Linked DNA regions of Stegostoma tigrinum. The protein of the gene in region 1 interacts with the protein of each later gene in a pairwise test. Links are inferred from orthologs where the notes say so. Each region holds a gene or a part of one and is shown in the gene's direction. Other genes may lie near its edges.

The links.
Region 2: the proteins of dnajb11 (region 1) and ubr1 interact in a two-hybrid assay, tested with the Homo sapiens proteins (2 studies listed by BioGRID and IntAct). The link is inferred for Stegostoma tigrinum from reciprocal best matches to the Homo sapiens genes DNAJB11 and UBR1.

What each region holds. Positions count from the first base shown.
Region 1 is NC_081360.1:29,055,941-29,059,861, forward strand, and holds the start of dnajb11 (dnaJ homolog subfamily B member 11), read left to right. Parts: upstream 1-1,057; 5' UTR 1,058-1,235; coding exon 1,236-1,300; intron 1,301-1,565; coding exon 1,566-1,722; intron 1,723-3,921. UniProt on the Homo sapiens protein: As a co-chaperone for HSPA5 it is required for proper folding, trafficking or degradation of proteins.
Region 2 is NC_081363.1:86,524,590-86,528,510, forward strand, and holds the start of ubr1 (E3 ubiquitin-protein ligase UBR1), read left to right. Parts: upstream 1-899; 5' UTR 900-948; coding exon 949-1,032; intron 1,033-3,921. UniProt on the Homo sapiens protein: E3 ubiquitin-protein ligase which is a component of the N-end rule pathway. Recognizes and binds proteins bearing specific N-terminal residues that are destabilizing according to the N-end rule, leading to their ubiquitination and subsequent degradation.

The sequences.
Region 1 (3,921 bases):
AAGTTGGGCACAGCACACTAAAGTGGCCAGTGCCTCATTCTAGCTTATGTTGCTGCCGCTTGTGGGAGTTTTCTGAGTGCAAATTGATTGCAATGTTTCCTAAATTACAGAAGTGACAGTACTTCATAGGTACTTAATGGGCTTCAAATTGCTTTGTGATATCAGGAAGTCTCAAAAATTGCCTTATAAATACAAGTCTTTTATTTCACAATAGTCAGATTTTTTCTCCTTATGAGTCTTAATTGATCCAAATCACAATCCTACAGGCAAAATGGATTGTGGATTATTTTGAAGTTTCATAATTTATTTTATGAATCCAAGATCTTTGAATACATTTATGTAAAAGCAAAATCCATCTGGTAAGGAACAAAAACTTACATTAATATTATAGCTTAGTAAAATTTCCTAAGATATTTCACCAGGTTGTACTAAGAAAACTAAATGGAGGTGACCAAGAGGAGATGCTTTTGAAGATGGAGAAAAGGTAGCAAGGCAGTTTAGAGATGCTATATATAATTGCAGACATCAAACAATAAGTTTATTTAGAATCACAGAACATGTCCACCAAAGATGACCATCTGTATCATCTTATTATTGCCAACGCACACAATTTTACTCAAAATTAGAATCTTACTCGTCCTCAAATAATTATTCAATCTTCTCTCAAAACACTTATCCACTAACGGTATTTTCCATTTTCCGGGAAGAATCCTAAACACTTCTTGGACAGCACTGTGATGCAACTAAGCTTTTGAAATAAAAAAAACTGACACAGGACTGTACATTTTCTAACGCAATAACACTTCATCATTTAACTTTAACTCAGTCTTACATGTTTCAACTTTAAAAACCTAACACGAAGCAATTTTTTAAAAAAGGCGAAAATATAAATGAGATTTTCCACCTTGTTTATTTTTAGTTCCGTTTTTGACTTATTAGAATTCTGTGCATAATTTCCTGCACGAACACACACACACAACTATACCCCCGTGCCCTCCTCTTCCTCTGCCCAACCCCTTTCCCGGTACGATAGCAAACGAATGAGAAGGTCTAGCAGTTGGAGTACGAGCTTGGACTCCGCCCCTCCTGAAAGCGTCAGGCATGAGGAAGCGGCGATGCTGTTAGGTTGCCTCTGCCGGTAGTTGCCGCTAACCAGCTCGTAGAGAGTAACGTGGGCAGCGGAGCCAAAACAACAAAAAAAAGAACAAGGAAGGGAAGGAGGAAAAGTGTGCAGCATGGCGGCGGGTGTGCGCTCTGTGTGTATTGTGCTGCTGTGTCTGAGCGGGGAGGTTCTGACAGGGTAAGTGAGAGGGAGAGATCTCCAGCTCAGGTTCCTGCAGCTCTTCCTATCTACCTTCACTTCACTGAATGAATATCATGGGTATTAACGCGTTAGAGTGACCCCCCGGTGTGATCATCGGGTGGGAACTTGTTCAGTTTTTTAACAAACAAAATTTTGCCAAGTGCGTTGTTCATCAGTCACTGAAAGGGCTGTAAGGTCTTATTTCAGTTGTGTGTATTTTCTTCATATCTCGTGTTTTTTTTTTGTTTGTGTCTGAGGACAGCCGGGATTTCTACAAGATTCTGGGGGTATCTAAAAGCGCCTCGGTGAAGGATATCAAGAAGGCTTATCGCAAACTGGCACTGCAGTTGCACCCCGACAGAAACCCCGACGATCCGGCAGCGCAGGCTAAGTTCCAGGATTTGGGGGCTGCTTATGAGGTACTGAGTAGGGGCAATGTAGGCTGAGTGTGTGTGCAATACCAGTGTAATGGTATGAGGGAGGGTTACCCGTCAGGTACATTTCGGCCTTTCCTTGTGAAGTCTCAGTCACTTCTTTTTACTTCTGAGTTATAGTGATGACAAATCTGGGAGACTGTGTGGCTTCAGCTCATTGGCTATTGGTGAAGGGGTGAGAGGTCACACTATAATCCAAGCCTGCTGGAGCAGCTGCTGTAAGATTCTCAATTTACATATTGTTTCAGTTACACATTTGCAGATCTCGTACACTTTTTAGTTTAACGTCTTTAAAACTGCATGTCCTGAAACAATACGACTATCAGTGTTTCTCCTAATAATACTTATTGTCTATTTTATACGCATGTCGTGTTTATGAATGGTAGGACACTTGTAGTGCATTTAATAGTTGAGGGCCTCCAAGTATGTTTAACTGACTAAAGCTATTTATGAAGCTTAAGCTTTTGTGCAAAGATTGTTCACTGACCTTCTGCCTAAATCTTAACACCCTCGGAGCAACAATTTATGTGAACTTCTTCCAAATTTCAGGAAGAAAGGCCTACCGTGATCACAGAATATCCCAATATTCTTTAAACAAATGAAGTTCTGTATTCCTTGATCTTGTTGGGGCCTCTTCTATAGTCTGGAAACTGAACATCACTTAGGTAACTTCTGCTAACAGTCCTCTGCTTTTGTCTGAAGATGTAATCTTGAACTCCCAATTTCTTGCTACTTCAGTTCTTTCTCCAAGTTTAACATCTATCTTTAGCTTTCTGTTTTTTTAATTAAGCTCATGAACTGTCTTTCTAAAATAATGGAATGGTTATAGCATAGAAAGAGGTCATTTGGTCTGTCATGTCAGCTGGCCTTCCAAAGGAGCACTTCATCTAGAGCCACTACTGTCTTTTTCGTGTAGTGCTGTAACATTTTCTTTTCTGGATAATGATCTAATTCCCTCCTGACAGTCAAAATTCACCCTACTTTTGCCACTCTCGGGCAGTGCATACCAGATCCTAACCTGTGTGAATGTTTCTCCTTGTGTTGCTATTGTTTCTTTTGCCAAATATCTTAAATCTGTTTTGTCTGGTTCTTGATCATTGCATTGTTGTTTTGTCCCTATCTGAACTCTGAAATTTTGGATAACTGTATTAATCTCCTCTTCAAGGAGGAAGACCTTCAGTCTGCCTTGTGTAACGGAAGTTTCTCATCCCTGGAGGCATTTTTTCTGCATCCCCTCTAATCTCTTCACTGGAAAATATGGTGCCCAGAAATAGATGTAATAGTCCAGATGAGGCTGAGCCAGTATTTGTAGAGGTTTAATAAAATTTATTGCTTGTTGACTTTACGACCATTAATGAAACCTAGGATGTCCCATCCTTTATTCGTTGTTCACTTGATGTGCCTTGCCATGTTAGGAATTTTCTTACATATTGACTTGGTCCCTCTGCTCCTGGTCTCTTTTTCAAAATTTGCATCTTTTACTTTGTATTGTTTCTCTGCTGCCTTCATGCTAAATTAATCATTTCACCCACTTCTGCATTATATTTCTCCTTTCTGACCATTTCACTATGCATATGACTTTGCTATCCTACACCATCTGCTTCATTGTTCACAATGGTTCCAAGCTTTGTCACTTGCAAATTTGGAAGTTTTACCCTATACAGGTTAGTAATTTGTCAGGTACTGTCGGTGTCCTAACAAATTCTTGGGGAAGTCATTCTTAAGTGGTCATCCTGTCTGAAAACAAACATTCAGCTGTTGTTTCCTGTCACAGTCAATTCTGGACCCATGTAGCTACTGTCCCTTTCATTCCATGAGTTCTAACTTTGATCATGGGTTAATGTGTGGCACTTTAACAAATATATTTTGGAAGTTGATAGACGCTATAAAAACAGCATTATCTTCACCACTATGATACCACTCAAACTCCTATCAAGTTGGTTAAACATGATTTACCTTTAACAAATCCACATTGGATTTCCTTAATTAACCTGTATTTACTTAAGTGACTAATAATTTTATCCAGCATTATCACCTCAGTTTTACCAGCACAGATTAAATTGACTGGCATGGAGTTGCTGGACTAGGCAATTTTCAACCCTCTGGCTATTACATTGAATTAATGTTTCACAACTTTGTACAGATGCCATTTGGCAGCCACAGTTAATGAGTGTGCTGACATTT
Region 2 (3,921 bases), on another chromosome or scaffold:
CAGCTCCACACTATGTTGACTCTGACTCAAGCATTTGCAGCTCTTGTTGTCTCCAATGAGCACTTAGAATTTCAAGGAAATAGAAGCTATGACCAACTGCAGGGAAACGGGATTACTGTGGCTTGGTGTTCATTGGTTGGCATGGACAAAGTGAGCTGAATGGCTTTTTCTATGCTGTATGATTGTATGACTCTAAATGTAAATAGTGAATATCCAAGCTTTCTACCTCCAGGCTTCAGGAAACAACATCTGTCTCTCCTCTGGCAGGATGCGGGGATCCAGCTTGGATTATTTAGCACCTCAAGACCAACAATTCCAGAGTGAAAGAAAGGCATCCTTGTTCCTGAGGGACTGCTTAATTAAGACAGACAGTGGAAGGTGCACAATTACACTGCCACCCCCCACCACGCAGACAAAATTTGTGAATGAAACTAATTAGTATTTGCAGAAGCCCCAACGCCTGGTGGACATGATGCGTGAGCCAACTTTTAAGACAACCTCCATGAAGCTGGAGTCAGCTGTAACCTTAGAATAAATACAGAATGTTCTGGGACTGAGGTCTGAAAAGGAGCCATATAGGACTCGAAACATTATTACTGTTTCATTCTCCACAGATGCTGCCAGACCTGCTGAGTTTCTCCAGCAATTTGTGTTTTCAGTTCAGATATTCAGGATCCGCAGTATTTGGCTTTTGTCTTAATGTGTTTATAGATGGAAGGTTTGGCTGTTAAAAATGAAAGCAAGATTTTCAACATGTGCCAAATTACAAGCCTTTGCTGATAATTCAACTTTGGTTATTTACCACAAGAAGCAGCTTTCATTCTCGCTCCATCACCACTTCCTCTTCCCCAACTTTGGCAACTGCCATAAAGCATTGCTGGCCTCAGCTGGAAAACTGTCGCTAAGCGGTGGAGATGCGGGACGCTACGCTTGGCGGCAGTGAGGAAGATGGCGGACGAGAACCTGCGGGAGTTGAATGTCGGTGGAGATCCGGGGACCTGGGACGGCTCGGAGTCTGAGCTGGTGGTCCGGGTGAGTGCAGCCTAGGATGGGCCGTTGACACACGCACTGAGGGGCCGGGGGAAGTCTCGGTCTCACTCCCGCTTCTCCCTGGTGCTGCCATAAGGGCTCAGGGCTGTTTAACGGACCGGGGTCCCGAGCGTTGTCCGTCAAGCAAAGATCCGCCGCCTTCCTTTTTTGTTATTGTGTCGACACGGTCCCGTTTGTCCGAGTTTTGTTTACAAACCGCAAAAGCAAGCTGGGTTTAAACCAGTGTGGTCGTGTTGGTATTCCTGCCCCATTGAGTCTCGTGCCTGATCTCAGTTTGTCGGTGTGCCAGGTCGCATGTGAGCCCCGACCCAGTTTTTTGGTTTCCCGCCTGTCGTGTGCTCCTGACCCGTTGGCACGCTCTTATGCCTGCTCAGTTGGTGTGCCTGAGACCTGGTATGTTAGCATGCCAGTGCCCTGGCAAGTTGGCACACTGAGTCTGTTGTGTGCCCATGTCCTGGTTTGTTTGCATGCTTTTGTGCCTGGTCTAATTTTGATAGTTTATCCGGCCTCTTGTCAGTTAGTGTTTATCTGTGCCTCTGTATTAGTTTATTTCCCTTGTATTCATTAAGTTGTGGAGGAATTTCATTAAGAAAAGCTACGAATTTATAAAAATTTACGTCACTTAGAGCTTTCAAGTGACTTACTGTGAGTTGTTTTCTTATTTGAGTTACAAAATATCATATGCTTTGAAAGGGAATGGTACAACAGATACTTTTGCTTTCAATCTGTTAGATTTTAATAAAGAGTGTAATGTTCATGTTTGTTTTTTGTAAATTGGGCCTCATTCTATTAATTGTATAACAGTGAACGTTAATCAAGATTGCCCAAACACACACGCTTGTATCCAAAGTCACGTTGAGTTGCATTAAACTATCAGCCAATTGCTCATTGATTGATGTATATTGACTTTTGATTTGTTAATGCTTACCTGCATTTTAAAAAATCTTCCTTTTCCCCTGGTAATCTCCTCCAGCGCTCAAACTTTCAATTCTACCCTCTTTTAATCACTTCTTTGGTTATATTTCTGTCAAGGTCTTAAACTCTGGAATTCCCGCTTTAAGGATCTCCACATTGTTTTACTTCTCTCGCTCTCGCTCTCTCTTCTTTTATCCTTAAAGTCTTCCTATTTGACCAGGCTGTACATCTTTTGAAATGGCTTAGTGTCAAGATTCTGAAGAACGGTCTAGGCCTGAAACGTCAGCCTTCATGCTCCTCTGATGCTGCTTGGCCTGCTGTGTTCATCCAGCTGTTCACCTTGTTATCTCAGTGTCAAGTTTGATTATGCTTCTGTGAAGCCTCCAGAATCTTCTAACTGCATTAAAGATGCCATATAAGTGCAAGGTTTGTTCATTTATCTGTGAACTAAATCCTCGTAGTGCTATTGATGATTTAAAATTTATATTTAGAAGCAAGGGTGTGTAAGTGAAGTTGACCAGTTCCTGTGCTGGGAAGAAACTGGTGCAGCGATTCATCAAACATGATTAAGATTCTGTTGCACTTATAATTAAAACCAAAAACACAGGCTCTTTCAATCACATTGTGTATATGTTCTCTTATTGTACCAACTTTCCCTTTACTTTCACATTGTAGTCCACAAAATGCTTTTTAATATTACTGACTGAAGTTAGTTGATTTTTTTTATGTTTCCAGAGAAATGCAAGATTTCCAGATGATTTTGCTTCTCTCTTGCCCTACCACACAGGTGATGATGCCTATTATTCCCATGTTGCTTTGTTGTCAAAGCTCAGCTAATTTAGTCCGTTACGGGATTTGTTCTTGTTACTTTACCATTCAACAAGGCTCAGTTCCTTCTGGAATATCTGCATAAATAATTAAGTATTATGTTGTTTTGAAAAAAAAATTAAAACACCAATCCCTGTACACTTTAAAGACGTATTAAACTGTTCAAATTTTTTATGACATTACAAAGCTTTCAGTAACCTATACATCAAGTTGCTATAGTTCCCAGAGCACCATAGCTCATGACACTAAATAAAAAGGCAGCTGATGATGGTTTAACCTGAGGACCACCTTGCCTCGGACAAGAGGTGAGGTCAAGAAGATGGGACCTTCACGGTGACCGGAACCTGTGCAGGAATTGTACCCATGATGTTGGTGTCATTCAGCAATACCAAGGAACTACCTAGCTAAGTGAGCTAAGCGACCTTTGGGTAAAGTGTTTTTGAAAGCTCTATCTGCTCCACTCGAGGAGGCCAAATATGGTGAGGAATCTTTTAAAAGAATAACATGACACACAATGAAGCCCATCAAGAATTCTTATCTGATCTAGCAAGAGTGCAAAGCAATGGTTTTTGTGAGTTTGCTATGAATTTGACCTTTGGGTTGAATATGTTAGTTCTGTCCTATTATATCTTCTCTCTTTGCCACTTTTTTATAATAGGTAGTTAGCTGAAGCCAGTTAAAATTGGTTTGTATTATAGTGCCTCATTTCACACTGGTTTGGATCGCAAACTTTGTATTGCGATAGTTTTTGCTATGGATTGACTCTTGATACACTGGAGTTTGTTTTTAAGGATATTGTTCAGGTGACATCCATGGAGCTGTTTGTTTGAGCTATTGTTGCCTTTCTAAAGAGGATGTTGAAATATCAGGAGTAGGTTATATTGTGATTAACATGTGAGGGGATCTGTATCTTTTATTCACTCATGGGATAGGGGCTTTGACTTGCCTAGCATTAATTGCCTGCCTGTAGTTTTGCTGAGAAAATGTGATTATTCAGGATTACACTGAATATATATTCAATACTATTTTCGTTAATTTTTTAATGAAATGCGAGTGTTGCTGGAAAAGCCAACATTTGTTGTGCATCCCCAAATGGCCTTGAACGGAGGTTAGTTAAGAGTCACACAC